2 linked regions of the Caenorhabditis elegans genome follow. The protein of the gene in region 1 interacts with the protein of each later gene in a pairwise test. Each region holds a gene or a part of one and is shown on either strand. Other genes may lie near its edges.

The links.
Region 2: the proteins of cyn-4 (region 1) and mep-1 interact in binary tests that used the Caenorhabditis elegans proteins (3 or more experiments, as listed by UniProt).

The regions. Positions count from the first base shown.
Region 1 is NC_003280.10:10,864,167-10,879,049, reverse strand, and holds cyn-4 (Peptidyl-prolyl cis-trans isomerase 4), read left to right. Parts: upstream 1-6,438; 5' UTR 6,439-6,443; coding exon 6,444-6,522; intron 6,523-6,577; coding exon 6,578-6,698; intron 6,699-6,744; coding exon 6,745-7,531; intron 7,532-7,587; coding exon 7,588-7,966; intron 7,967-8,015; coding exon 8,016-8,221; 3' UTR 8,222-8,271; downstream 8,272-14,883. Other genes in the region: orc-2 (Origin recognition complex subunit 2), read right to left, coding at 1,736-1,850, 1,954-2,028, 2,566-2,822, 3,582-3,681, 3,737-4,306, 4,941-5,116; copz-1 (putative coatomer subunit zeta), read right to left, coding at 5,359-5,509, 5,564-5,789, 5,840-5,927, 5,986-6,057, 6,121-6,138; cap-2 (F-actin-capping protein subunit beta), read right to left, coding at 8,635-8,736, 8,815-8,940, 8,986-9,090, 9,143-9,293, 9,346-9,459, 9,508-9,601, 9,651-9,768, 9,817-9,819; gmps-1 (putative GMP synthase [glutamine-hydrolyzing]), read left to right, coding at 10,659-10,712, 12,262-12,322, 12,441-12,959, 13,102-13,461, 13,510-14,099, 14,154-14,702, 14,754-14,858. UniProt on the Caenorhabditis elegans protein: May catalyze the cis-trans isomerization of proline imidic peptide bonds in oligopeptides thereby assisting the folding of proteins. May also function as a chaperone, playing a role in intracellular transport of proteins.
Region 2 is NC_003282.8:11,522,957-11,539,211, forward strand, and holds mep-1 (MOG interacting and ectopic P-granules protein 1), read left to right. Parts: upstream 1-1,685; 5' UTR 1,686-1,686; coding exon 1,687-1,809; intron 1,810-1,855; coding exon 1,856-2,198; intron 2,199-2,246; coding exon 2,247-3,189; intron 3,190-3,233; coding exon 3,234-3,730; intron 3,731-3,784; coding exon 3,785-4,077; intron 4,078-4,148; coding exon 4,149-4,562; 3' UTR 4,563-4,998; downstream 4,999-16,255. Other genes in the region: thum-3 (THUMP domain-containing protein), read left to right, coding at 5,100-5,165, 5,212-5,561, 5,769-5,925, 6,481-6,735, 7,172-7,278, 7,325-7,452, 7,502-7,614; M04B2.7 (uncharacterized protein), read right to left, coding at 7,786-7,875, 7,922-8,056, 8,826-8,921, 8,970-9,079, 9,160-9,352, 10,846-10,911. UniProt on the Caenorhabditis elegans protein: Has a broad role in development, specifically in the genetic pathway SynMuvB that negatively regulates specification of the vulval cell fate. Required for fem-3 3'-UTR-mediated repression in the regulation of the sperm/oocyte switch.

The sequences.
Region 1 (14,883 bases):
AATAAGACTATAACAAATTTGCTTCAACTTCCGACTAGATTGAGAAAGCCTTTCGGAACTTTTCGCTTCAAGACCCATCCTGATAGATTCATGGCTCTTTTATACCATTTGCGCGTGACGGTTTTGGATTAAAATATGATGAGGGGTCGAACAGGAACTCACGTGCTCATGTAAAGGTGGAGCAGCGCCAGCGGGGATTTTTTGTCCAAACTCATTTTTAATAAGCAAGTACAATTTAGAACTTTTAGAGCAATTTCGAACGCCCACACGTGGGTTAATACAAATATTTGAAAGCTTTATTAAAGTACGAAACTTTGTAGAAAAAAGTTTTTTTTTTCAGTTTCTGCCAAAACGAAGAGAGAAAGTTGAAAAGTACAAGTGCAAAGAAATTCAAAATTCATAGAAGAATGACACAAAAACTGACACTTATATAGAGGGTTCTCTGACAATTTTTGATCTTGACCATTTTTGATGTCTACGCGTAAACGCGCTCTAAGGCCAACGGAACGATCCGCCCCAGTAGGATGGGTCTCGTTAGGTAATATTAGGAAAACCGGGAATTCGAAATTCGAATGTTTAAATCATTTTTCGACGATTTTTTAAATATGTTTTACATTGGTTTTAGTAATTTTTATATGGGTCTTGATGTTTTAAAAATTCATATGAAGTTTTTGAATTTTATTATATCAATATTGGCATAAAAACCATTGAAACAACGGAAAATATAATAAAAAATAAACGAGACTATTAGGAAAAGTTTGAATTCCCGGTTTTCTCGCCAAACACCTAACGAGACCCATGGTTCCGGGGCGGGGCATTTCCAATTGGCCGTGGAGCGCGTTCTGCGTCCCCATAATATTGAGATCCAGTTCCTGTAGAGTTCGAAATTCTCTTGTTCCTGAGAGCGATAATATGAAAAAAAAACAAAAAAAAGTTTAAAAATGCTCATCGCATTCAAATATTCAAAGTCCTTCTCGTCCTTGTTGCCTAAATACTGATTGACTTGAGTCAGCAAGCAAAAAAAAAGAGAAAAGGAACATGATATACTGCTCTTCTGAGCCTAGTGGGCCGGAAGTGCTCATCGTTAATCTCTGCGAGCTTCTATGGAGACATTTTTGACAGAAAAAAGTGACACAAAAACTTCCAAGACACACAAAAATTTTGTCATTTCAAAAAGCTTCTATCAAAAAAGTTAGGGGAGAATGTGCGAGGAAAATCCGAATTTTCCAATTAAAAAAGCTAGAACAAAGGCACCTGTGAGCCCATTTTTGGGGGGAAGGCGAGCAGGAAAGAGTATCATATTACTACATCCATGAAACTCTAGGGAGAGGATTTGGTTTTTGATGGTGAGAGAGGGAAAACTTGGAAAATGAGATTCATTCAAATATGGGAATGTGAAACTGATAGTGAGAAACTGAAAATAATTGAGAAATCGTGAAGAAAAAACCGAGGGGGAAATGAGATTTTTGAAAAGGTACACAAAATTGGTATTACGGTAGATAAAGGTTTCAATTGATATATTTGAAAATGAAAATTATTGCCTTAAATATGAGCGTTCAGATGAGAGTAAGTGAAGATTGAGGTTTCAATTGAAGTAAAAAAAAATGGGATGAAGAAGCATCGACGGACGGACGGGGGGCGCAGAGTCAACAAATAAAACAATTGAAGGTAAATACATTGAGTCAAAAGGAGGCAGAGTGTGTTCATTTTTGAGGTCCTCCAGCAGTAGCAGCAGCTACTCGTCTTTCTTTTCGTCTAACGGCATGTTCTTCGATTCGAGAAATTCGGTCACTAATCGTAATTCGACAATGCCCGACAGCTGATCGTTTCCGTCATCACCACGGGTCCACCTGGAGAAATTTTGGAATTGAAATTGAAATATTTGAATAAGCAAACGACATCTGGTTGGAAGATGAGAATTTATCTATTTGGGGGGGGGGGGGGGATACTCACTTCAAAACCCGATGATCCTTGAATTCGACAAGTTGGGTTCGAAGAGCAGCGTCAGTTGAAGCAATGAAATCATCTCTGGAATTTTTAGGATTTTTTAAATCGAAAAACAAAAAAAATTATTTCAAAAAATTACCAATTTTGAAGTTTTTTCAGATTTTTTTCGGTTTTTTTGAACGAAAATTAGTGTTTTTGGGTTTTTTTTTCAAATTTTTTGGTTGTGCACAAAAAAAACCGAAAATCGAAAAATATTTCGGGGCATCCTTTGTGCAAGCTTGCAGGTTTTTCGGTTTGGCCTTTAAAAAATTGAAAAATCGAAAAAAATTAGATTTTTTTGTCGGTATTTTCAATTAAAAAAATTTCCCGCTCTGCCCAAAACCAAAAACATCAAAAATAATTAGTTTTTCAGTTTTTTTTGCTCAAAAACTCTAAAAATCAAAGTTTTTTAAAGGTTGCTATTATTTATGATTTTTTCGGTTTTTTAAACAAAGTTTCCGTTTTTTGGTTATGCTTAAAAAAGGGGAAAAATCGAATTTTTTTTTCAAATATTCCCAGTTTTGAATTTTTTGCTTTAAGAAAACTGAAAAATCGAAAAAATTTATTTTTTCCACTCACTTTGCCGCATTGAACAAATCCCAGAATTTGACAGGCTTCTTGGTGTCAAAGTACATTTGGAAAAAGAGACGGAATAATTTTTGTGAATTGACGGCAAGAGATTTCCAGAACACATCAAGCGATGACATTGTATGAGAGGATTGATTCGAACGAGCATCAAGACCAAGAAGACGAGAATCTCCAGTCATTAATTCTTGAAGTGGAATTTCGAAGGTGTTGATTGTGATGTGAACGAATGAGAGTGATGATAGTTGACGCTGAAATAAAAAAAGATAAATAACTGGAAATAACTTTTCTAATTTTTAAAATATTTTTGAACCTCTGGAATATTCAAATACAAATTATAAAAACACATTTAGAATAGAAAAATTACAATTTTTTTTGTTACATTTCTAAAATTATACCATGCCTTTATGAATAAAAAGTTTTTAATTCAAAATTATTTCAAAAAAGTTTATAATAAATATTTTTCATTTTAGAACCATATTTTTGGCATTAATAAAAATGTTTTTTAAGAATGTTTGTTTTTTCTAATTTTTCTTGTTTTTTTTTAAAGTAGAAAAAATTTGTTTGATTTTTCCGGAAAAATTGAGAATTTCAAAAGAAAATTGACTAAACATTTTTACAATATATTTTATTTTATTTGAAAGCTATTTTTCGGAAAATCTAAAAAAAAATCTAAAAATCGTTATTTTCAAAAATTTAATGTTTTTAGTGGGTTATAATTCGAGTAAATGCCATCAACTGTAGCGATTTTTTTAAAATTTTTTTGCCATAAATTTGACTGTTTTTCAAAATTGTTTTTTTTTCGATTTTTTGCCGTTTTCAGATTAAATATTAATTCGATTTTTTTAAGATTTTCTTATTTTCTCTTATTTTTCTCTCTGTCAAATTTTTATTATATTTATGAACAAAAAACATACTAAAATATATAAATTTCTACAGAAAAAAATAATTTTAAATAACAAAAAAATATAATTTTCTGTTTTTCGAAAATTAAAATTTTAGATACCCACCGAATTCCAGATGAACGTCGAGTAAATGTGATCAACTGTAGCAATCAATTTCACCGAATCCCGATTCTCAAGAAGTTCGCAAAATGCTTCTTGATCACTTCTGAAATTAATTAAAATTAATTTTTTATACATAAATAAAAGCGAATTCCCCTCACCTCCAATCAGGAGCTTCAATATTATCAATGATAAGAATCAACTGTTGGCTATTCATTTTTCTGCGAATAGATCGAGCCCAACTAATCGTAGATTGGCCTCTCTTCACATTACAATTCAGCTTCATATTCTCATTGATAGCTCCAAGAAGAACTTTTACATTGAGCCCATCTTTCCGTGCATCCACTCTCATATATGTATAATCGGATAGCTCATTCTCAAATTCTGTGAGAACATCACGCTTCGAACCGACACCGTGCAAAAGAATATTAAATCCAGCTGCTAGGTAAAGCTTCCATTTTCCGAAATCATTATCCGCGAGATGCTCCAATCGTTTTTCGAATTCCGTGTTATCTTTTTTGGTAATATAATTTCGAAGTCCAGGGAGATCACATTTTGTGAAATCAGTGATAGCATTACTGATCTCATCGTCTTCCTCAATTTCTTCAGTATTTCCATTTCCAGCACGTCTTCCACGACGGGATTTCGCATTATTCATTCGTTCTGACGCCGATTTTCCTTGCATAAAGTAATTTTCGATTGCTGATTGAGCCATTGATACAGTTTCATCCCTGGAAAAATGATTGATTTGCTTCGAAAATGTACTTATTTTTAGCTAGATGGAAGATTTTCTAATTTTTGCGCCAAAATTCCCGGTCTCGGCACGACAATTTTTTTTGAATTACAAACGGGTGTGCGCCTTTAAAGAGTACTGTAGTTTCAAACTGTGGAATTTTTATCGATTGTTCGTTAAAATTCATGCGCTTTTAATTATCCTAGTTTTTTGTTTATTTAAAAAAAATTTTAACAAAAAACAATGAAAAATCGATGGAAATTCCGCAACGAAATTTTGGCCTACCATTATTAAAGGCGCACCGAATCATTCAGATGAGTCTCGGCGCGCGAAAAACTTTTAAATTTTATGGTAGTTTTTTACTTTCATTTTTCAAGAAATTACTCCGTTTTTTGTATTTAGTTCTCCTTCTATTATTCTATTAAAAAACCGGAAAAATTTAAAGAAAAAGAAAATACTACGATACTGTTTTCCGCGCAGAGACCCGCCTGAATAGATCTGTGCGCCTTTAAGAACACATATTGTGATAATACAGCACTCCTTATAGACGCACCCCCGTTTTGTTTTCAACAAAAATTGCCGTGTCGAGACCCGGTTTTGCTCAAGAATTCATCTGGATAATAGATACATACTCGAAGCCCAGTTGTTCCAAATCTTCTTCTAAATTTGATTGCAAATTTCTAGAAGCATTCTCTTTTCCATTCGTCTTTTTCTGTCTGGATCCTTCTTTTTCTGGAGTCGATTTTTTCACAGGAACGGCGGCACTGGGCTGGACAGTTGCTCGTTTCAAAATTTTTGGCCGTGGCATTTTCTGAAATTAAAATTGAAAAATAGATATTTAGATTCATGCAGGAAATGTTAAGCTTTAAACTGAAAATATAGTTAGGCGTTAAGAAAACGAACCAAAAACTCAACAAAAACAGCACAAAATCAACAATTTTTACAATGAAAACACCATTTTATCCGAGGTTTATTCATTTTAATTCACAAAAGAGTATTGGAGAGATTATAAATATCACATTTTAAATTAAATAATTTATAGAATTCCATTTACTTGAGAAGAGACCATTTGAACTGCTCGTTGGCAGATTTCATGAACGAGAAGCCGATTTGTGATACGGATTGATCGGAGAATGAGACTTCGTCGGATTTGAGAGCGGTTCTTTGGACGACAGCCTGGGCGTCAGTTTCCATGATAATTCTGTAATAATTATTTTAAATCAGTTGAATACTTTTAGAAATAAAAAAAAATAACCCTTCATCACAGATTTCGTCAATAATCAGCATGATAGTGTCCATGGAATCGATGAGAGCCTTCTTCTCGACGTTTTTGCGAAGAACGACAGACACAGCATCGTAGAGACAGGTGAGAGTTGCGTCGAGGAAAAGCTCATTCTCGCGGGTCGATCCGAGCACGTAGAAGTACAGATCAACGTTCGAGCGGTACAAGCAAGTCACTCCGTCGAGAAGCAGGATATCGGCTTAAAATGTTTAATTTTTATTGTTTTCATCAAAAAAAAATCAGCCAAACCTGAAGTGTTGCGGGAAGTTTTCGAGAAGAGACTTTTCTCGAAAGCTTTTTGCTCCTTGACAGTTCCAAAGGTTGTACGGTCGTAGTACTGAAAATCGATATTTTTTCGAGTTTTTTGTATGGTAATTGTGAAATAAACGACAAACCTTGGCAAGAACACGGTTTCCATCCTGATCAAGAATCACAATTCCTTTGATACTGTACAGAGAAGTTGGATTCTGAAATTTCGCTTTTTAGTTAAAAAAAAAAAACTTCAATAATAAGCTGCAAATGAAACTTACAGTGTCAAAGTCTGCCATCTTATTGCAAATCCTCTCTTTTGCTAATATTACCTATAAAATTAAAAATTTATCTCTGAAAAACAATTTAAATGGAGGAAAAACATTGAGAAACAAGATAATCCACGTCAATAGTCAATGAAATTGAGCGCGTAAATCGACATGTGATCGTGGCGAGACCCGAGGTGGCTGGCGGCCGCCGGCCTAGGTTTTCGTGTAGATTTACGAGCCGATTTGTTTTCGCAATTTTTAACAATCGGCATTTTAATTAAGCTTAATAACTACATAAATGTAACTAGTATTTATTTGTATTATTTTCAGATAAAATGGGAAAAAAGCAACATCAGAAAGATAAACTCTATCTGACCACTTCTGAATGGAAATCGATTGGAGGACATAAAGATGGTTTTTATTTAAACACGAGTTATAAATAAAAACAAGATTTAATTTCATATTTCAGATACTGGAACAAGACTCCAAAGAGCACAGTTCAAAAGGTTACCCATCAACCATTGCTCGCTGTCACTTCTACCGTTTGAAGACCCAGTTTGCGCAAGATCAGGAGAAATTTTCGATTTAACGTAAATTTCTGTTTATTTTTTTTACTTTTTATTAAAAAATTTTCAGTGCTATCGTTCCTTACTTGAAGAAGCATGGCAAAAACCCGTGTACAGGAAAACCGTTGGTTGCCAAGGATCTAATCCACTTGAAATTCGATAAAGGAGAAGATGGAAAGTTCCGATGCCCAGTTACATTCAGAACATTCACGGACCACAGTCATATTCTGGCCATCGCTACTTCCGGAAACGTCTATTCTCATGAAGCCGTGCAAGAATTGAATTTAAAAAGAAATCATCTCAAGGATCTTCTAACCGATGTTCCGTTCACAAGAGCTGATATAATTGATCTTCAAGACCCAAATCATTTGGAAAAATTCAATATGGAGCAGTTTCTACACGTGAAGCTTGATTTAAAGACGTCAGAAGAGATTAAAAAAGAAAAAGATGCAATGAAAGATCCAAAATTCTACATTCGACGAATGAATAATGCTTGCAAATCAGTTCTTGATCAATTGGATAAGGAATATGTCCCAAAGAAGAGCTCCACAGAAACTGATGAAACTGCCGATGAGATCAATGCAGCACATTATAGTCAAGGAAAAGTCGCAGCTGGATTCACATCCACTGTAATGGCTCCAGTTACAAGCAATAAAGCAGCTGTTTTGGATAATGATACAGTTCGGTACAGCCGAGTTAAGAAAAATGCTTTTGTGCGGCTTGTTACAAATTTTGGGCCATTGAATCTGGAATTATTCGCGCCGAAAGTTCCGAAGGCCTGTGAAAACTTCATCACACATTGTTCGAATGGATATTATAATAACACCAAATTTCATCGGTTAATTAAAAACTTTATGGTAAATTTATTATAAAAATAGTTAAAGTTATAACAAAAAATAATTAAAAATTTCAGCTGCAAGGAGGCGACCCAACTGGTACAGGACATGGTGGAGAATCAATTTGGGATAAGCCATTCTCAGATGAATTCATCTCCGGTTTCTCCCATGATGCTCGAGGTGTGCTCTCGATGGCTAATAAGGGCTCTAACACCAACGGATCACAATTCTTCATTACATTCCGGCCGTGCAAGTATTTGGACAGAAAGCACACAATTTTTGGGAGACTTGTTGGAGGACAGGATACACTAACGACGATTGAAAAGTTGGAAACTGAAGAGGGAACTGATGTTCCGATGGTTTCAGTTGTTATTATGAGAGCTGAAGTATTTGTGGATCCATTTGAAGAAGCTGAGAAAGAAGTTCAAGCTGAGAGAGCAGAGATTTTGAAGAAAAGTTTCTTAATTCTATTACTAATTTTAAAACTAATGATATCTATTTTCAGCTTCTAAGGACGCAGCTTCATTAGCAAATAAAAAAGCTAAAGAAACTGCAACAAAACCAGAAGCAGTTGGAACTGGAGTCGGCAAGTACATGAAGTCGGCCGCAGCTGTGAATAAACGACAAGGAAAAATGGAAGATGTACCCTTGGAGGCCGCAAAGAAAACTAAATTTGCAAGAGCAGGCCTTGGAGATTTCTCAAAGTGGTGATGAAGACCCTCTCTTTTTTTTTAAATTTAAGGAATAAAATACTTTCATCGAAAATATAATTGAAATGAAAAGTAATCTTAAAGAGGATAATTTACATTGCAAAATACAAAACAGTCGAACGAGCACCTAGAACGAAAATGGTCCAGGAAAAGCTCAAGCTCTTCTCGGAAGGAACATCAAGGCATTTTGGTAATAAATTGTGGAAAAGCCATAGCACATACACTTTGGAGCGAGGAGAAATTGTGGGAAAAGAGATTTTAATAATTCTAGAAAAAAAGTTTACACTCGAGAAAAGGCAATGAAAAAAGGTTTTAAAAGAAGAAACAAGCTGGTATTATGGTAGATAAATATACAAAACTCGCAAATAAAGCATTAAAATGAGAGATTTTGAGCTGCAAATGTAGATAGATCACTCAGTTTCCGCGGTTAGCCATGGCGTTGTTCAACTCGCGAACGATCTCATCTTGCTTCTCGAGCTCACTCTGCTTCTCTGTTGAACGGAGATCCGACATCACCTGGAAAATATTTTTTTCGAAAATTGTACTTTTTAAAAATGAAACTTTTTTCATATAATAAATTTGCATTTTGCTTACCTTCTTCGTCTTTCCAAAGTATATCTCATTGATCGTCAGACGCATTTTCGACTCCTGATCCTCAATCATTCGTCCCATATTAGCCAAGTGTGTGTTCTGATCGTTGATTGGTGCATCCATCTCATGCTATAATATTTCTTTTTAAATATATTCACAACTCGAAACCAAAACCTGTCTTGTAAGGGAGCCACCGAGGTTCATCACACCGCTGGAGCTTTTGTTTGTCTGCAGCCACAGCATGATAGTGGAGGTGAGCTTGTAGTGAGCCTGGCGTGCCTGGAAAATTATAAATTAAAAAAAAAAACTCTTCAACAGTTTTTGAACCAACTCTTTCCGTGATCTCAATAACGTGAATAGAATCCCAACATCCTGTTATATTTTTGGCTCCGTCTCCCTCTTTCTTGATGAGCACAATTCCGGCGAAACCTCCATTATCCAAGTCCCAGAAGTAAACTGATGAGACGCCTCCCTCGAAGTATCTGGAAATTATTATTATTTATGAGCAAATATATGATTTTTCTGTCAACTTACAAATCACGGTATGACTCAAAAGCGGCATTTGCCTCGATTTCCATTTTTCTGCGCTTTTCCGATGGCAATTGTCCATCCTCGAGTGGTGGATCATAGGTATTACTCCATGGTGATCTGAATTATCAGAAAAAATCGATAGATTTCAAATAAAATGACTCATACCTGTAGCTATCGCCATCTCGATTGTAGTCACAAAGCAAATACTGTTTGCCGGTCTCACGGTCCGCGGCGATTTTCAGCGGTTGATCGATAGTGCCTAAAACCATCAAGCGAATTTTTTTAAATTAGTTAAAAAGGAAACATACTGAGAAGATCATCAACAAGATGAGGGCACAGATCGATGAGGTCCGTCAAATTCTTGTCGCAGTGTTGTGGAGGAAGTCTTCGCATCAAGTCGAGGGCACAATCGAGCTGTTGTTCTCCCTGGTAAATATTTATTATAAATTGTTTTTAAAATATTTATTAAAATACCATTTTTGATAGTTTCGAGCCGGATGTGGGTGTGCTCCCTGAAACAATAAACTTTTATGTCAGATTTTAAGTCGTTACAACCTATTAAAAACATAAAAAGACTCTAAACGATTGGGTAATGATTTTTTAGTTCACAAATAAGATTAAATTTCGCAAAAATATATTTTAAAAGCCATTAGAAAGCAGGAAAGTTGCGAAACGGAGCGACCACTTCATTGATTTTACACTCCGTTTCTCTCACTCTCTCGTCCCTCCACCGTACCCATAGTCACTCTCGTCGGCAAATCGCGGCGAGACCCGCGAGCTTTTGGCGTTTCGCCAGAGTTCTTCAAATTTTTGTTTTTTTCTTCGAGCTTTTAAATTTAAGTTTTTTCCGTCAATTTTTATGTTAATAAACCGAAAAAATTAATTTTAAATTAATTGACATGAAATTTTCATCGCAAGTTTATCCGTGTTCTGTACATTCTCATCGCTTCATCTCCGAGAAAACACCGAATCCACTAAATTTTGTTATTTCAGTAATTGCAGCCAAAACGAGTCAAAATTGGAGCGCGTCAGAGTAAACGTCACTGCCGCAACCTTCCATCTGAAGTGAGTATTTAAATGTGAAAATTTTGAAAAACTGGGTGAAAATTCGCGCACATTTCTGTAAATTGGCTCCCGATTTGGTTTTCAACGTTAAAAAACGAAAAAAAGCATTTTCAACGTTTAAACGTGCGTTTTAAGGAGGTTTTCATTATAAATTGCCAAAAAATTCCACTTTCCATTGACTTCAAATCATTATAACCTAGCTTCAGCGTGCAAAAAGAACAAAGGCCGTCTCGAAAGTCAGTGAGCATACTATGAAAAGATCGAGTTCAATGTTGGACATCAACGAGGACAGTCAACATTCCACGGTCAGAACTTGTACTTTTCTTTTGATCTTGCCGCTTTGCTAATGGATTTCTTTTTTGAATTTTCGTTGAATTTAATTATTTTATCGCTGCAAAGGGCTTTTACAATTTTCCCTGAAATCGTCACTATAAAAGAAAAGAAATAATTGCAATTTTATTGCATTCTCCGCAACTACATTCTGTTTTTTCCGACTCCAAATAGTTCAAAGTTCTCTAGAATCACAATATCTTCCTCTGAAGACAAAAGATCAGTTGTCACTAAAGCCACATGCCGACTTTTCTGTTCAAGGGGGGTTCCACCATATGTTTCGGCGCTCAAATTACATGTTTTTTCGCGAAAAAAAGCTAATTTTCCTGTAACCTGAAGGGTTTTCTTTTTAAATAAATAAAAATGTTCACGTTAATCCAGTGATATATCGAAACTAGGTGACCTAATTGACGTGGAGTTCAGATTATACCGGCTTTTCTAGAACTTTCTATCTGATTTTCAGGATTACTGCGCCGTTTCTTGATAGTTTTCGTCTAAAAACCGAGTATATTTTAATATTTGTTGGCAGTTTTTGTCTTATTTATCACAATTTTCAGTGAGAATTCCTTGGTTTTTCTCATGGGATAAGCGTTTTTCACTGGAAAATATATTTTCTTGGTAGAAAATTCTCCTCGACGAAATCGTAGTTATATTCTCCCAGCCGAACACTAAAATGCTGGAAAACTAGGAAACTAGGGTCTAGTTGAAAAATTTTGCAATTTTTCCAAGTACAGCAGCACTTTTTTAAAATATTATCTTTAATATGATTTTCCACCATTTCTCTCTCTCTCTCTCCTGACTTTTATCTTTTTCGTCATTATTTCTTTTTCTCTGTTACAGCACTGGTTCTGCTCTCTCCTTTCCTCTTGTCGTCATTCAAAAGGTTCCCTTTGGTTTTGTTTCTCTCTTTTTTTTTCAATCTCTACGTCTCACCACTCTCTCGCTCTCTCTCACATTGTTTGATTTTGATTTCAGTTTCTGTGCTGAGAGAACTTTTCAACTATCTCTTCTTTGTTTTTTGCTGTCATCTTCTTCCTACTCTTGAAGCCGCCCGATGCTCGGTTTTGAGCCACTCAAAGCATTGAGGAATACTGTTTTTATGAAATTATCACCTTTTATTGCATATTTTGGTTGATTTAGGCACATTTTAAGTCGGTAGGCGTCCAATTTTGATGCCTATCTACTTAAAATGTGCCTAAATCAATGAATTAATTAGAGATAAATGACCAAAAGATGCAATTCAGGATAATAATTTAGGAGAAGTTGGAGTAATTTTAGATTTTAGCAATGTTTGGCTACTTTTTTCGGACTTTTCAGGCCAGTTTTAGTCAAAAAGCTGCTCTTTCCAACTTATTTTGCACTCTATGCCCTGCGTCTCTCACTATCTCCTAACAGTTCAGCCATTTTCACTCTCATTTCATCTGCCTTGGCAGCTGCATGTCAGCAGGCTCCACGTTTAACAAGCTCTCAAATTTTGCTCTAAAAAGCCGAAAATACATACCATACAGAATTATAATATTTCAGAACAAAGCTCCACCACCGAAGAAGGCGCCAGAAGATCGATTTGATAGTGCCAATATGAACGGTAAGTAGATAATTTCAATGAAAATGTGATTTTAGAATAAAATAACTTTTTTTTTGTATTAGATTTTTGTATTCACTCACATTTTCATAATTAAGACAAAAACTAATATGTTGAAAAGCTTCAGGAAGTCACGTCACCCTTGTCGAGAATCTTCCAGTTGAGAAGGTTTCAAGTGGCGAACGCATTGCCATCCTCGACTTTGGAGCACAATATGGAAAAGTTATTGATCGACGTGTTCGCGAGCTTCTCGTACAATCAGAGATGTTTCCACTCAACACGACAGCTCGTACACTCATCGAGCTTGGCGGATTCAAGGGAATCATCATTTCTGGTGGTCCCAACTCGGTATTCGAACCAGAAGCCCCGTCAATCGATCCAGAAATCTTCACTTGTGGATTGCCAGTTCTTGGAATTTGTTACGGATTTCAGTTGATGAATAAGCTCAATGGAGGAACTGTAACAAGAGAGCATATCAGAGAAGACGGAGCATGTGAAATTCAAGTCGATACGAGCGTTCATTTGTTCAATGGACTTCACAAAACAGAAACTGTCTTGCTAACTCACGGAGACAGTGTATCAGAGGCTACGGTGGCTCCAGACTTCAAAGTTATGGCCAAAAGTGGCCATCATGTTGCTGGTGAGTTTATTGAAAATTTTATTCACATTTTTTTAAAACAAAAAAAAACAAAATTAAATAATAATTTTCTGATTTTAATATTTACCAATGCTTCTAACCCCTCATCAAATATTCGTACTTTCATCTCAAAACCTTTTTGCAGGAATTTGTAACGAGAACCGCAAGCTGTACGGTGTCCAGTTTCATCCAGAAGTAGATCTCACTACCAACGGCACGAAAATGTTCGAGAATTTCCTTTTCAAAGTTGTCGGATGCTGTGGAAATTTCACTATTCAAAACCGTGAGCAATCGTGTATTTCGGAGATCAATAGCATTGTCGGTGACAAGAAGGTACTCGTAATGGTGTCTGGAGGTGTCGACTCGGCTGTTTGTGCTGCGTTGCTCCGTCGTGCTCTTGGACCAAATCGGGTCACAGCAATTCATATTGACAATGGATTCATGCGTCATGAGGAGAGTGATGCTGTTGAGAAGAGTCTTGCGGCGCTTGATCTTCCGATTCACAGTGAGTTTAAAAAAATTTTTTTAATTCAAAAAAAAAAATTAATTTCAGGGTATAACTTCGGCACAACGTTCCGTTCCAGTACAGAACACTGCAAGGATGGAGAAGTTGCGTTGGATGAGTGTGATGATCCGGAGATGAAGAGAAAAATCATTGGAAATACATTTATTCGCGTAAAAGATGTGATTATGAAGGACTTGAATATCAATCATGATGAATATTTCCTTGCACAAGGAACTCTCCGTCCAGATTTAATTGAAAGTGCAAGTGCTCTTGCTTCGGGACACGCGGACACTATCAAAACTCATCACAATGACACATTTTTGGTGCGAGAACTGAGAAAACTCGGAAAAGTTGTGGAGCCGCTGAAAGATTTCCACAAAGATGAAGTCAGAGAGCTTGGAAAAGATCTTGGGTTGCCTGAAAGTATTGTGCAGAGACATCCATTCCCAGGACCTGGTCTTGCGATTCGCATTCTTTGTGCATCAGATAAGAGGCCGGAGTTGATGTTCAACGGTCCGATGTATAATGGAGATGTGCAAGGAAGAATTATCGATGTTACTGAGCAGTTTTTAAATTCTGCAATTAATCCAAGTCAAGGAATTTATGAACACCTGCAGTTCGAGCAGGCACGGAACAATGTGAGTTGTCACTATTGAAAACTATATCCAGAGTCTATTATTTCTGTTTTTCAGGTTCTACTATCACTGTCTGAAAGAGATCGCCAACTCGCCGAGCAACAAACCTTCCAAATCAGTGCTCACATTCTTCCAATCAAAACAGTCGGTGTTCAAGGAGATGCCAGATCCTATTCGTATGCAGTTGCACTGTCCACCGAGCAACGACCAATTCCATGGAAACTCCTGTTCGCGTATGCTTCAGTCATCCCGAAGCTGTTCCACGGAGTCAATCGAGTCGTCTACGCATTTGGATCAAAAATCGAGTTTTCGATCGAGGACCTGACGAGAACATATCTTGTACCACACATTGTCACTAAACTTCAAATGGCGGATCACATCGCCAATAATATTCTATTCGGACGTGTCGCTGCTTCGGATGGTACGCAGCTGCCAAATGTTGGGCACAAAATTCAACAGATGCCAGTCGTCCTTCTGCCTGTTGATTTTGATCGTGATAGAGATATGATTGGATCATACAGGCACTCGATTGTTCTTCGTCCGTTTGTCACATCGGACTTTATGACTGGTCAGGCTGCGATTCCAGGAGTTCACTTACCGGAAGAGGTTAGTTTTCGACAAACATTTGTTTTTTTTTCTAATCAATTTATATTTCAGACTCTTATTGAAATGGACAAGGCCATCAGAACCAATGTTCTTGGTATCTCTCGTGTTCTTCTGGACATGACCTGTAAGCCACCGGGCACCACCGAATGGGAATAAGCTTTTTCGGACTAAATCGTCATCA
Region 2 (16,255 bases), on another chromosome or scaffold:
ATTTGTAGTCCGAGTTTTTCCACCTGCTGATTCTAGTGTTATAGCTTTTATATGACGTTTCATCCATCTGTTTCGACAATACAGTAACCCGTCGAGAATGAATATTCGGTTCTCTATTTAGCTGCAATTGAATCTTGAAAACACAAAAATTTCAAATTGAGCGAATGTGTGGCTGAGAACCAACGTTCACTCCCTTGCTATCGAAACTGCACCTGTTGCGATTTCGTGGCGAGACCCGAGGAAATACTCAATTAATAAATACAACGGTGTCAATCCCACATTGACTGATCTTGCAAATATCTTTCTTCATTGTGTCACTTTTTTTCAGAAATGCAGTTTTTCCATTAGTTTATAGTGCCCAGCGAGTAGTATATCCTCAGAAATGTTGATCCTCATGATTATAAGGTCATTATCGTTTCAAAACATGAATAGTCATAACTTTTCTCTCACAAACTTTTCGAATGTATCCTAGAACTGCTGAATCTCACAGAAACCTAAATTACGAAATCAGGTTCTAATTTTTATCAAAAATTTACAAACCTACGAGAATTCGATTTAACTTGAGAATGAAGAAAGACGCCAACTTCAATTGAAATGCACCGAATTTAGTTCAGGTTACTATCATTTGTATTCTAGATGCAAAGGAATTCACACTTCCAGCTGATATAGCGCTGATCCTAACACGATCCTTTCAACATCTTAGATTTTCGTTTAATGTTTAATCGGAATTTATATTTAAGGCCTGTAGAAATTTCCTAGAAAACGCTATAGAAATATTTAGCTGATTCTCAAGTTTTAGGAACGGGCGTCTTCCTGGTAGAAGATAGTTCGCAGCCCATAAAGACAGCACCCGGCCTAACCGACAATGGCGGTTATGAATTTTTAGACCATTTAAGGTTATGATGGCGAGACCACAACAACCCGTCGCCACGCACGTCACGCTCACAAAACACTCATTCATGCGCTCACGGAACGCTCACACACTCATGACATACACACATCATTTCGCCTCACACACCGCGCCGTCGCCATCCGCACCGCCCGGGTGGGACGTGTTCAAACTTTTCGGTTTTCGTAATTAATAGTGAGCCCCGGTTTATTCGCTTTGAGAATCAGTATAATGGATATATCAGATTGTGTAATTAGGTTGCGTGCTTGAACTTTTAAAATTAACTGTTTTAAATTTATCTGCCTTTATCGTTACAGTAAATCATTTTGATGAACTTTTCGGATGAATCATAATGAAGTACGCAGCGCTCTAACAAAATGTGTTTGTAAATTCCAATTGCTACAAGTTGCCCGGCTTATTTTTTGGTGATTGAAGCATGATTCTGTTGACGCTCCCGACGCGGAATACCAGGACGGACCGATGAGAGAGTACTGCCAGTGAAGAGACGCATGCGAGCAGGACGAGTGCTGCTCACCCTTCTTCTCAGCGTCGGCGGCTGCGACCAGCGGCCGAGGAAGGGGAGGAGAGAGGCCGATTTGGCTGCGTACCACGTTTGATACTCAGTCACTTACCACAGCTGGTTCTCTTGTGCGTTCAAATCTGGCTTGCCGCGCGCGCGCATTTTATTCCTACCAGTTTGAATCTCCCACCTCTCCGACTGTAACTGTCCTAATTTGCTTCCTTCTCATCACTCTCTCTTTGCCTATTTCTCACTATCTAGACTCTATTTTTCCAGAATGGTCACCGCCGACGAGACGGTACTCGCCACAACGACCAACACCACTTCCATGTCTGTGGAACCAACGGATCCGAGAAGCGCTGGTGAATCGTCCTCAGATTCGGAGCCAGACACAATTGAGGTGAGGAAAAGTTTTGGGAATTTAAATCTGAATAAAACGTTTTCAGCAGCTGAAGGCAGAACAGCGCGAAGTGATGGCCGACGCGGCGAATGGTTCCGAAGTCAACGGAAATCAAGAGAACGGAAAAGAGGAAGCGGCATCTGCAGACGTGGAAGTGATCGAGATAGATGACACCGAAGAGTCTACGGATCCCTCACCTGATGGATCTGATGAAAACGGTGATGCTGCATCTACATCGGTTCCAATCGAAGAGGAAGCGCGTAAAAAGGATGAGGGGGCTTCCGAAGTGACTGTGGCATCATCTGAGATTGAACAAGACGATGATGGCGATGTTATGGAAATCACTGAGGAGCCGAACGGAAAGTCGGAGGATACTGCCAACGGAACAGGTGTGTTTTATAATTTTACCAAGTTTAATTTTAACTTTCTATTTTCAGTTACTGAGGAGGTGCTAGATGAAGAGGAGCCAGAACCTTCCGTAAACGGAACAACTGAGATCGCTACAGAGAAAGAGCCAGAAGATTCTTCAATGCCTGTCGAACAGAATGGGAAGGGTGTGAAGCGGCCTGTCGAATGCATCGAACTCGACGACGACGATGATGACGAGATTCAGGAAATTTCTACCCCTGCCCCAGCTAAAAAAGCTAAAATTGATGATGTCAAGGCGACAAGCGTTCCAGAAGAGGACAACAATGAGCAGGCGCAGAAGAGATTGCTCGACAAGCTGGAAGAGTATGTGAAGGAGCAGAAGGATCAACCATCCAGCAAAAGCCGAAAAGTTCTGGACACTCTTCTCGGAGCAATCAATGCGCAAGTTCAAAAGGAGCCTCTGTCGGTTCGGAAGCTGATCCTGGACAAAGTTCTCGTTCTCCCAAACACAATATCATTCCCACCAAGTCAAGTTTGCGACTTATTGATTGAGCACGATCCCGAAATGCCTTTGACGAAGGTTATCAACAGGATGTTTGGAGAAGAAAGACCAAAGTTGAGTGATTCCGAGAAACGAGAGAGAGCTCAGCTGAAACAACATAATCCTGTTCCAAATATGACAAAACTGCTCGTGGACATTGGACAGGATCTCGTTCAAGAAGCTACCTATTGTGATATAGTTCACGCGAAGAATCTTCCAGAGGTGCCAAAAAATCTTGAAACCTATAAGCAAGTCGCTGCGCAGTTGAAACCAGTTTGGGAGACATTGAAACGCAAAAATGAGCCGTACAAGTTGAAAATGCATCGATGCGACGTCTGTGGATTCCAGACGGAATCAAAGCTGGTTATGAGCACTCACAAGGAGAATTTGCACTTCACAGGATCCAAATTCCAGTGCACCATGTGTAAAGAGACGGACACGAGTGAGCAAAGAATGAAGGATCACTACTTGTAAGTTTTTTTTTTTTCATCTTTCAATATTCATTTAATTACAGCGAAACTCATCTTGTTATTGCAAAATCGGAAGAGAAGGAGTCCAAGTATCCATGTGCAATCTGCGAAGAAGACTTCAATTTCAAAGGTGTCCGTGAGCAGCATTACAAGCAGTGCAAGAAGGACTACATTCGCATTCGAAACATCATGATGCCGAAGCAAGACGATCATCTCTATATCAACAGATGGCTCTGGGAGAGGCCCCAATTGGATCCCAGCATTCTTCAACAGCAGCAACAAGCTGCTCTTCAGCAAGCTCAACAAAAGAAGCAACAGCAACTTCTGCATCAACAGCAAGCAGCACAAGCTGCAGCCGCTGCGCAACTCTTACGGAAGCAACAATTACAACAGCAACAACAACAGCAACAGGCTCGTCTTCGTGAGCAACAGCAAGCGGCCCAATTCCGGCAAGTGGCTCAACTGCTGCAACAACAATCAGCGCAGGCTCAACGTGCACAGCAGAATCAAGGAAATGTGAATCATAACACTCTGATTGCAGGTAATAGCTAAACATATTTTAAATAAGTATTTTGTATAATTATTTATATTTCAGCAATGCAAGCGTCGTTGCGTAGAGGTGGTCAACAAGGAAATTCGCTGGCAGTTTCTCAACTTCTCCAAAAGCAAATGGCAGCTTTGAAGTCGCAACAAGGAGCTCAACAACTTCAGGCTGCGGTGAACTCCATGAGAAGCCAGAACAGTCAAAAGACGCCAACACACAGAAGTTCGAAACTTGTTACTACGCCGTCTCATGCTACTGTTGGCTCTTCTTCAGCTCCCACGTTTGTATGCGAAATTTGTGATGCGTCAGTGCAGGAAAAGGAGAAGTATCTACAGCATCTTCAGGTAATTTTAAGAAACGTTTCTATTTCAATTTCAAAACCGATTATTAAATATCTTAAACATCACATTTTCAGACTACTCATAAGCAGATGGTTGGAAAAGTGCTGCAGGACATGTCGCAAGGAGCTCCACTGGCATGTTCTCGATGCCGTGACAGATTCTGGACTTATGAAGGGTTGGAGCGGCACTTGGTGATGTCGCATGGTCTCGTCACTGCTGATCTGCTCCTCAAAGCGCAAAAGAAGGAAGACGGAGGTCGATGCAAGACATGCGGCAAGAACTATGCGTTCAACATGCTTCAACACTTGGTAGCTGATCATCAAGTGAAGTTGTGCTCGGCTGAAATCATGTACTCGTGCGATGTGTGCGCGTTCAAATGCTCGAGTTATCAGACTCTGGAAGCCCATCTCACTTCAAATCACCCAAAAGGAGATAAGAAGACATCAACACCAGCAAAAAAAGATGATTGTATTACTCTGGATGATTAATAGGAAAACGAATGGCTTATCCCGTTCTACGAATGAGTGCTGGAAACATTCTTCACAATGATCTCAATTATTTCTCTTATTCTTTACATTCAATCATTTTAAATCACCAGTTCTCCCACTTTCATTGATATACACATTCTATTGCGGGTTCCGGAACCGAAATCAATCAGTACTTTACTTTATTTCCCCAATTTTTCTCTTCATGATATCTGGTTTATTCTCGCATCTTCCCCTACCTTCAAAACTCCCTATTTTTTTTTCAAAACCTAACTACCCCACAATTATCATGTAAAATCAAATTGCAATTCCCCATAAGACAGATCAGTATACACTTTCACTTCATACGTCTGTTGTTCTCCCCCATCTCATACTTTTTTTACCATTTGTCCAGTTAAGATTTTTGGAAGATATCTATCATATAAATATTATCACCTTTACAAACCATTCTTTTTGAAACTATTTTCAGAAATAAGATTCAGATTTTCTCATAATATTTGGAGGAATCTATTTCAACAGATACGAAAGATATTCAGACAAATGACAGACTCCGTTGAAATCTGTGCTGCTGTCATCACCGGTTTTGAAAAAGTTGCAGCAAAAGAGGTAAATCCTGAAAACTAGATAAAATATCTTACTCGAGTTCCTTCAGATTTCAAAATTATTTTCGCCTAAAAAATGCCATCCAGGACGTGGAAATGTAAGATTTTCAATAGATCTGGAACGTGTAAACGAGACTCTGCAACTTCGATCAATCGATAATCTTTATATGGTTTTTTATGAAGAAACAATTGAAAAGCTGTCTGAAATGCAAAAAGAAGATGCATTGAAAACTATTCAATCGCAAATTTCATTTTGTAACTGGAAATTGGCAATTGAAGCTTATCAATTGGCACGTGGAAACGCGATTAACGGAGGAAGTGAAAAGATTTTGAAACAGATTCAACAATTTAAAAAAGATCGAATATATAGTGAAGTTACGGACGATTCACCCAAGTTTAGGTAATTTTTGAAATCAATATCAAAAATCCTTATTAAAATTTTCAAAAAAAATTAAAAATTCGAAATTTTATTGTGGTTTTAAACTGAAAAAATTTGGTACATCTCACAAAAATTACAATTCAAAATTTTAGTTTTGAAATAAAATTTCAATTATTTTTTTTCCTAATAATTTTTATTTTTCAAAAGTTATGATGACTTTTTTTTCAGAGTAACATGCAAACGATGTGGAGAGAAAGAGATTCACAAATTCAGTTCAATGGATGCTGCTTCGAAGTTTGGAGCTGAAATTAATAATGCTTTTGGTTGGAAATGTAGTGTCAAAGAGTTCGATATAGAAGTAGTATTAAGGATTGATCGGAATAATGTAAGATCGGTGTACCTGCAATTTTACAAAATGAGATAGTGTTCTCCCAATCAATGGTGGAATTTTTCGATTTTTTTCAGTGAAAATCGAAAAACGAAAATTTTTGATTTTTCGATTTTCAAAAACCAAAAAAAAAATTCAGAAAATCAACCATAAAATATGATTTTTTTTAAAATCTAATATATTGATATTTAGATAAGAAAAAACATAAAAATTTTCTAAAAAGAGGAATAATGACCAAAATATTAAGATAATTTTTGAAAATCGAAAAAACGATAAAATACATTTTTTAATTTTTCGATATTTGAAAAATCGAAAAATTTTCGCACCCTTGCTCCCAATATCTCTCATTAAAATTTAGGAATTTGCTTTATCTGAAAATAGCTAGCATTTTAGTTGGAAAAAATTTTCAGATAAATCAAATTTTTTAAATACAGTATTCTATCAAGAACTTTTAATGAAAAAAATTGGGAAAATATTCCACGCTGGCTCATTTTGTAGAATTTCTGGTCAGCTGTTTTCTTTGAATTTCTTCTAATTCATTCATATTTTCAGATGACAGTAATGATGGCTCTGAACGAAGAATCTCTATTCAAACGTAATATCTGTGCGTATGGACCAACTACAATGAGATCTACAATGTGTCATTGCATGCTTCAATTAGCTGATATAAAACCAGGAGATATTATTGTCGATGCAATGTGTGGAGGTGGCTCTATTCCGATTGAAGGGGCAATTTCATGGAAAAATTCATTATTTTTGGGTGGAGATAATCATGAGATGGCAATGAGCAGATGTCTACAGAATTGGGTAAGAAAAAACGAAAATTTGAATTACCGCGGGTTCGTCTCGAAACTCCGCCCATTTCCGTGTTTTTATCATTTTCGGCGTAAATTATTCGTTTCGTCTCGCATTTGGCGTTCGGCAATTTTTTGTCGACAAATTCAGCAAATTGCCGATTTGCCGTTTTCCGAACATCAATTTGCCGAAAGTCTTTAGAGGGATAAAACTGTGCCTTTTTAAAACATTTCCTGTTAAAATTGAAATTCCATAATTTCACAAAAAATGTGCAAAACCATAGTTTCCCAAAATTTTTCGGTAGATTGCCGGTTTGCCGATTTGCCGGAAAAATAGTTGTTTTTTTAAATTAGAAGCAAAACGAAGAATTTGTGTCGAAATTATTTCAAAAATGAGTAGATTAGCCACAATTGAAAATTTGCCATTTTTAAATAATAAATATTTTAAGTCGGCGAATTCATCGAGCTCCCGATCAAACTGCGACTTTCTCACTTGGGATGCTACAAATCTTCCACTACGCGATAATTCAATCGATGCACTTGTCACGGATCTACCGTAATCATTTCAACGATTTTTCCACTTAAAAACATTTATATTTCAGATTTGGCAAGAAGATAGGAAGTACCACAGATAACAGGTTACTGTACCCGAGGCTTCTCGCAGAATGGAAACGAGTTTTAAGGAAAGGTGGACGATTAGTCTTGATGACTCATGATAAACGGAGTTTAGGTATTGTGAAAAAACTTTAAAAACCAGAATAATTATTTAATATTTGTAGAAAACTCATTCCTAAAAGATCGGTCTTCATGGCAAACTGACGCGTCTCATGTTGTCAACGTTGGTGGATTATCATGTCTTTGTATCTGCATGATAAATAGAAAATCTGATTAGATTTCAAATTTTTAACATGCTTGTTTTGTTTATAAAATTCAATGAATAAATCAAAAATTCATTGGCTGGTTTCACATAAAAGGCACAAAATTTAAAAGTGAACATGATCAAATAGAAGACACCGGTTTGAAAAGAGAAATGGCGAAGATGGATGAGAGGAATCACGAAAATCTAAACTCGATGAATGAAGTGCAATGATTTTTTATTGTTATTATTATTGATTTTTTCGATTGTTGGTAGTTGAGCAAAATGAAATAATACCTATAAAAAATTGTTCAAATATATTTTTATTTGATTTAATACTTACTTCACTTGCATTCACTGCTTTCAGTACATCACTGTTACATCGAACTGATTTTGCTTTCGGTGGAATTGGTTGAAAGAATATTGAACTTTGAGTGGGAACGCAAACTGCACGAGTTATTCGATCACATTCGGATTTCTGAAAAAAAAAATGTTTTCATACAAATAATTTTTATCTGAAACTGAGGTAGCTACCTCATGTTGTCAACGTTGGTGGATTATCATCCACCGACTTCCTCTAGAGCCTGAAGCACTAATTTTGAATTCAATCCGTCACTTTCAAATTTATTTAAATTTTTAGGCATTTATTTAAATTTTTAGGCAATTTGGGTCAAACTGTCTAATCTTTCGTAAAAATCAAAAATGAGCGGTGCAAATCTCTTGTCAGTAAATCTACAAATCTGACTTTCAAACTACAGAATTAAGAGACATTTGAGACAAATTTTATTAGAAATTATGTGTCATTTCGTTAGAAAGCATTTAAAAGCCATGAAATACAATTTAAAACAAAATGTTTTTTTTTAAAATTTCTATTGTAGTTTTGCCAATTTCTGAAACGCAGTTTTAAAGGCGCATGGATTTATTCAGATGGGTCTCGCCGCGAGAACAAGTTTCTGATAGCGGGTTACGGTCTCTTTTTTACTTAGCTTTTATCTTCTGTAACATAGTGAACAAAATACTGGAGCGGGCACTAAAATTAACTAAAAAGTGCTACCATGTACTTTTTCTCACGGCGAGACCCACTCGAACAAAACTGTGGGCCTTTAAGAACGTGTTTCATAAAATTACAAATTCATGATATTGAGTTTTCATCTTAATAGTTGGAATATCTTATTGAAATTTGCAGTTTTGTAGCTTTTCTGAGAGAGCCTACCGCCCACCTCCTTAAAATACCAAAAAATCAATACCTCTACATCTTTGCAATGTTGTATTAGATAAGGTTTTCCAGAAGCTAAACATGGCGATGATTCTACAATTTCATAAAATGCATTTAATTCGGCTAGCTGAAAATTTGGAATATAAATACAAGATACAACTACAGTAATCCTTACTTGTTTTTTATTATGTTTCCACCTTCGAAATCTATAGACACAGAATATAGTTGTTATCAATAATCCAACTAATATGACAGGAAGCAATGCAATAAGGGAATAATCTGAAACTGAATTCAATTATATAAATTATAGTTTTAATTTAAAAAAAAGTGGTTTTCTTTGCGTCTCTGTATCTCTCTTACAGTACCTGAAACCACGTGAAGCCGACCATCGTTGACAACGAAATCGCGATGCGATGATTGAAATTTTCGAACGTCGAAAAAGTCCATCAGTGTAATTCGACGATTTGTAGAGTTTGAATGATGGGAAGTAGAATTGGAAGAGGACAGAAGAGATGATACTGTCGGCTCATCGCCCTCTTCCGGTTGACCGTTGACTTTCTACAGAAATTTCAGAATAAGAGGTCGGGAAGAGGATTTGTGGTAAGTTTTGAACAATTGATATAAGAGTTTTAGAAGTAATTAAAAGTGTCTAACTTCAGAACTATATCAGATTTTCAGTCAGAAGTTTTATGGCGAATATAAAAGTTTAAGTATTGTTGCATTCTTGAAACAAAAACTATATTTAAAAATGGAATATCACCAGTTTAATCCTAAAACGATTAACTTATCAAAAATGCTTAGAATTTCTTCATTTACAGCCAAAAAGTGAAAGTTATATTACTCCACCATTCAATAATTATAATCAAAATATAAAGATTTGGACAATTTACCAAACAATTTTGACTGAAAGTTTCAAAAATATCAAAACAATTCTAAAGTGTTTTGTTTTTGACATATTTCAAGTATGGTTTTGCAGACCTTTTTAAATTTACAACGGCTCTAAATTATCGTAATTTTGTGAAAACGAGAAACATCAGCTTAAAAGTACACAAGTATTTTCTAAGTGGGCTTCACCACCATCTTCGAAATTCAGATTACGTACATACATAGTCACATACTCAACTCCAAACTAAAAAAACTAAATTACCTCACTACGTTTCCTCGGAATATTCCGATTCATTTTAGTTGAAGCAGGTGAGAAATCAAAAGAAATAATAATTATTTTTTCAGAATGTGTCCATTTTGGTTTCAGTCTCTTTATGTTTGAAAAAGAAGAGAAAATGCACCTAGGGACACGGAAAGATATCATATTTCTAACCAAATAGGACCACAGAAAACCAAAAGAAGGAGGTCGCTTTGTATGAAATTGGAGTGAAAAAATGCTCTATGGAATATAAGTTTTTAAAACAGGTGTTGTCAATTTTGATTTGTTTGGAAGAAAAAAACCATTAAATAATATCGAATAAAAATTTTGGATTTTACGAATTGGTAAAACTGCAACCCGCAAATACTCAAAGCTGCTCAGTACCAAACGTAGGAGAACTAATCAGCTTAAAATGAAATGTCATAAGCAAATGGCATAAGTCGTGTAAATTAACTTTCTATCCATGTAAAACCAATACAATAAAATTGGAAATATAATTTTAAAATTTTAAGATCACTTGTTTATTTAGTTAAAAATTTCAACAATTAGATGAACCAAAGATGCGAAAAAGCATTAAAACCATTATATGGGCGGAGTCTGTTGAATTTATGTAGAAATAGAAATGTCTTTTTTTTCAATGGCAAGCTATTAAAAAGTATTGGAAAAAATTGAAAAATACTCCTGTTATGTTGAAAGTTGAAAAAAATTAAAGCAGGCACGACAACTTGGATTTTTTAAAACGTGGTGAGCATGTTCATGAGTCAACGGAAATTGATTTCACTTCCAGAAAGAAACATTGGGCTTGATACATTTTCAAAAAAACCCAGAAATTTAAAGTTTTTAAAAGTTTCTCTGGATTTCGTTAAGCGACATTTTGACTTTTTAAAATTTAAATTATAACACTCACTTCATCGATAAAGTTTTCAATAGAATATGGTTGATAAATCATAAAGGAATTGGGAAAAGTGTTCATTATTGAAATAACTATTTTTCCATTTTGTTTTGCCCATCGGCAATAACTTATTATTTAGAGATGAAAAGTTCGTAGAGAGACGCAGAAGAAAAAATGAAATTCAAAGTCCCTATGGGTAATTATTCTTGGGAAAAGCGAAGCTAAAAAGAAGGAAAACGATGATAATGAAGTCTGTGTAGAGACCGGGGGGCACCGCCACCAACCACCCGAACACCAAAAATTGTATAGGAAAACGGAGGAGTTTGACGTCAGATTTGTGTTGTGTCTCCCGTGTGTACAAGGTGGGAATGAGGATATAAGAATAGAATAGAGTGGGATGGAAAAAAAGGAAAGGAGAATTTTGATATCAAAAATAGAAGTAGTTGGCGAATGCGTTTTTACAAAGAAAAATAGCCATCTTTCGGCTCCTTTGGTTCCGGAAAAATGTGGTGGAAAACGGACGATTTATGGGTTCTTTTGAATGGCATTCAAGAAAAGGAAAAAAGGGTGAATAAGAGAATAAGAGAAGGAAATGAAACGATGCAATGAGAAGTCAACTAGAAATTTATGGATCAGGACTTGAAATCTAATTATCTAGTTTGATCAACAGTTGACAAGAATTGGAGACTCTTTTTTTGAGCTTTTCAGAATTAAATACAGAAAGTATAGCACAGTTTTTTGATAGTTTGGGATAAAAAACAAAAATCGTCTTCGATTTTTGACCTAAAAACAGCAGTTGAAATTGGTGAAAAAAACTTTGGATTTATTTTGAATTGAGCTGAGCTAAAAACGATAGTACTGTAGAAACCAAAAATTAAAAAATATTTCAAAATAGATATTTTTTATAAACTCGAAAAGTGTTCAAAGTACAGAAATTGTGTTTTTTGGATGTTTTAATATCGAAGAGCCGTAGAAAAAGTATTAGTTTTAATCAAGACACCAAAAAATGCCCTGCTCTGTTTGGCATCACCACAGTTTTTTCTATTGAAAATGCTTTTAAACGTTCAAGTGAAACGATTAACAGCTTCCAAGCTTGAAACGAAATAATGACCACAATGACCGCTTTTGCACACACTAGAGTATGGGGTATCATTAGGAAAAGAAGAGCATTCTATTGAAAGTTCCGTTAGCAGGCATACCTATTTATAAATAGACAGCACGTTTTTCTCGCTCATTTGTTTGCAACTTTCCCTTTAATTTTGATATGCTAATTTCTTATTCGGTTAATACGGAAAAAAGGCCATCGGAGCCATATATACATTTAAAAAAATATTGCAAAGCTCTCGGACCAATCGGAATTTTTATGCAATACTGATTTTCCAGCTGCAAACATTACCAGTGAAATTTTTGATTCACTTTTTTTTGAAATAAACAAGTGGAAATATCACGTCTACCAAAACGTCTACCAAAACACAAAAAATATTTAAAAAATCTTACCATAAAACATTTCCAGCAAGTTTCGAATATAGCGCCACCCAGGACCATTTCTTTTTGTTCAAAATGTCATATGTTATTCTGTTTTCTATAGGCTTAAAGAAGTTATTGGACGCGGGAAAATAGAGAGTATATGGGGGAAGTAAGACTCTGAATGTGTCGTCGAAACAAAAGCCCTAACGAATGTCTTGGCACTATCGAAAGCTGTCTCGCGTTCTTTTTTGACTTGGTCCGTCCCCTTCCCTACCCAAAAAAAGAGAATGCAATTTAGCAATTAATCTTTTTCATTCTAGTTGATTGAAAGGGCTCTCAAAAAAGATTGAGTACTCTGTGGAAAATACGGAAATTTCAATTTATCGATGAAAGTTTAACTCATTTAAAAATGTTGAAATCTCATTTTTTAAATTTCCACAGTAATCTCTCTAATTAACTCTCAAAAAAGAACAAAAGATATGCGATATGTTGAAATTGAAATTTTTCACTTGCAGAATTGAGAAAAACTTGACTGACGTTGTGCAACAACATTTTTTTAAATGCCTACGTGCCTGCCTTTCGCTTGCTTTCTGTTGTTCAACTAACCTGGTTAAATTGATCGGTGTTGTCAAAAATCGTCTTTATTTAAAACTTTTATGGCAAAAATTAAAAGTTCGAAACAAGAAATTAGTTCAGTTTCTAGGAAGGAAAAATAATAAAATAAGAAAAAAGATCACTATCTCATATTTCATTCATCTATTCTTCAACTTTTTGTTGTTTCTCCGAAGAGTTCGATACGAGCACACATAAATAAAAAATAATGAAAAAAAAAAGAAGAAAGATGAATTAATTTTTTGCATTTGCGGGTGCCCGACCCCTTATTTGAGTTCAGTGAGAAATTTACAAATGGATAAAAAACGAGAGAAGTTTGATTGGGGGAAAACACCTCTCGGAGCAGGAAGCAGAACAAAATTGAGTTGGATGGAAGCAGAAGGGGAACGAACGGATACAAATTTAGACAAGGAACATAAATTTTCAGAAGAACAGAGAATAACATTCAGTGCTTTCAGTTTTCCTGTGCTATATTTTAACATCCGTTTTTTTCATAAAATTCGTAATTCAATGATGTCATAAACTTTGTTAAATTTTGGAACAGTTAAATTTTGAGATGCTATAATTGTGAGTGTACCCGGAAAGAATATTCCCACAATTGACAATTTCAACCTACAAAAGTCTGCTGGAGATTCAGTTTTTATTAGCATGAAATTTCACGAATTTTTAAATTTTTAAAAAGAAGCATCCGGCTCGTAAGTTTACTGTATCTTTTTGTAACGACTTTACTATTTCTTGAACAAAGGTGATATTGAATAATTTAGATTCAACTTGAAAAAAAACTTTAGGAAAAAAGTTTTAAATAAATTATCCTACAAATCCGCAAGGATTCAGGTCAAATGTTTTAAAAACCAATTTTTAATTGTCAGATTCATTTTTAGAATGTTTCTAAAAAATGATAAAACTTACAACAACTTTGCTGGTAACCATGATTTTAGTAGAGAATATGAAGAATTTTGTGTAAAATAAAACTGACGTATCCTTTTCGTCCACTCAAATAAAATAGCCAAGAGATTTCGAGTATTTTTGAAAATAGGTCCGAAAAAGAAGAAAGAGACGGAGAGCAACAACTTTAACAAGTGTTTTTTTCCTTTTCGGCTCTCGCTTCATTAGTTTAGGAGTGAGCTTGCCACCGAGCTTTTTCTGGGCCAAAAAACTCCAATTTCTCTTTTAAAGAGATTGTAGATTTCCTTATATATGTGAAAATGATATTTAAAGTCATAATAGGAAACAAATGAAAAACGGATAAAAATTCTCTTTTTTGAATTGAACACAAAAAGGAGTGGGTGGGGGAAAGAATTGTGAAATGAATTTTGAAAACAGATTCTCAGAATTGGGAGCGGGAAATAGGCAAAACTGACTGCCAGACAACTATAATTATTTTTACCTTTTTCCACTCAAAATTTGTTGTCTGTAATTTAAAACACAGATCAACGCATCCGTTATATTTTCAGGATTTTAGAATATTTCAGAAAGCCACAGGCTTCATAAATTTCGAACTATTTATATCACTTTTTCAAAAAAAAAAAGTGACACTCGAAAATGCAACGAGCGTACATGTATATTCAAAAAAAAAATTTCAAAAATAAATTGCAAACACAGTTAATGTAAGTTTACTTGCGAATCTAGCGAATTTTGTTTCATGTTTTAAAGACTTCCCGTAGCACCTTCCCTCGCCTTTCGCCTGGAAAACGCCTCGAGTGAAGAGGCGTGTGAGAGGCGCCCTTACAACGCCTCAGTCAGGTGGATTTTTCAGTTTTTTTTTTTGGGAAATTAAGTTGAACCATGTTAATAATCAAACTTTTTTTCTGAAAAATTCACACCTATTTTTTCGAGAAAATTGCCAAAATGAACAAACAAAAAACTCAATAATGAAGAAAGAAACAACTATTCTGAAAACCAAACATCATGTTGTTCACAAGCTTTTCAAAAAAGAACGAATGATCCATTCTCAATTGGATTGAAAAATTTAATAACACAGATCTTTTTAGAGATAAAACGAACAAAATTGTTTTCTCTATTGTTCCGGAAAGAGTAAAAACTTTGCTAAAAAGTGAGTAAGTGTTTAAAATGTCGTGTCCCGAATGACGACTAATTAGACATTTTTCCCTGTTTCTCCTGCTCAATTTTTTCTTTTTTTGAAAACTGGTGAAGCGAAGAACGGAATAACAAATCGACCTCGTCTTTTTCTTTTTTTCGTTATTTTATTTTATTGTTGTTCATTTGTTTTTCTGAGCAATCCTTATTTTCTTTTTTTCTTTCTGATGTTCTCGGAAAGAAAAATGGGAAATTGGATGATGTTCTCAATAATTTAATTCAGAAAACAAACAACGCATGGCCTTTTGTAATCAAATTGAATTTCAGTTGGAAAAAGGACAACTTGATCAACAAATATTCAAAGTTAAAAATAAGGTCGTATTATAAGTTCGTTTCCATTATAGACAGACATTTCTTAACGCCTGCCAATGTGCCTACCTACGAATTTTATTAGAACCTATAGTTTTCTTGCGGAGGAGAAGGTACAAAAGTTGCAAATTCATGTTTGAACGATTGCACAAAAGTCAATTAATGACGCTCTAGCGTTTTACGCAGGCCAAATAATTAAAACATCAGACACACAAATTCAGAAATTAGGCGATAGGCATAAGGTGTCCCTAACATGGGAATCACACTATAAAATTAAAAATATTAGGAAAATTGTCTGTGAAAAAGTTTGGAATTTCAAGGGAAATAATTATCTCAAAAAATTTCTTATGAAATTGAAAAATTGGAGATATGTAGAACAAATCGATTTTTGAAATTGAACAAAAACTCCTATGTTAGAATTTTTCCAGTCTGTGCAAAATGTAAGACGTCAGAGCCGTGCAGCAATTCATTTGTCACATACACACACCAATACGCTCTCATTCCTTCTCAACACACACACGAAAATAGTGCTTAAGGACATGATTAAAGAGTCATTGGAAGAAATAAGGTCCCATCTCTCCTCTAAAAGCAGAAAAAGCACTCGATTACCAATTCAGATGACGATAGGATATAAACAAACAAAACGAATTCTTGAATTCATTTTGTAGTAGAAACGAGGAACGTTTTTTTTTTTGGAAGTAAGGATTAGGAATTTAAAGTCGGAAACTGTTTTAGAAAATGTTCAATGAGAAGATACGATATTTCGGACAAGTTTGAAAATCCGGTGAACATAATCAACCGACGAGGGTACAAAAAATTCAATTCAAAATTAATTAGAACAATTAAGATTTAAAATATAAAATGCCATGAAACCCAGATCTCTCGTTAATCCTAATTTGAGCTAAGGAATTTGATATATTATTGTCGCTTTCAGTTTCAG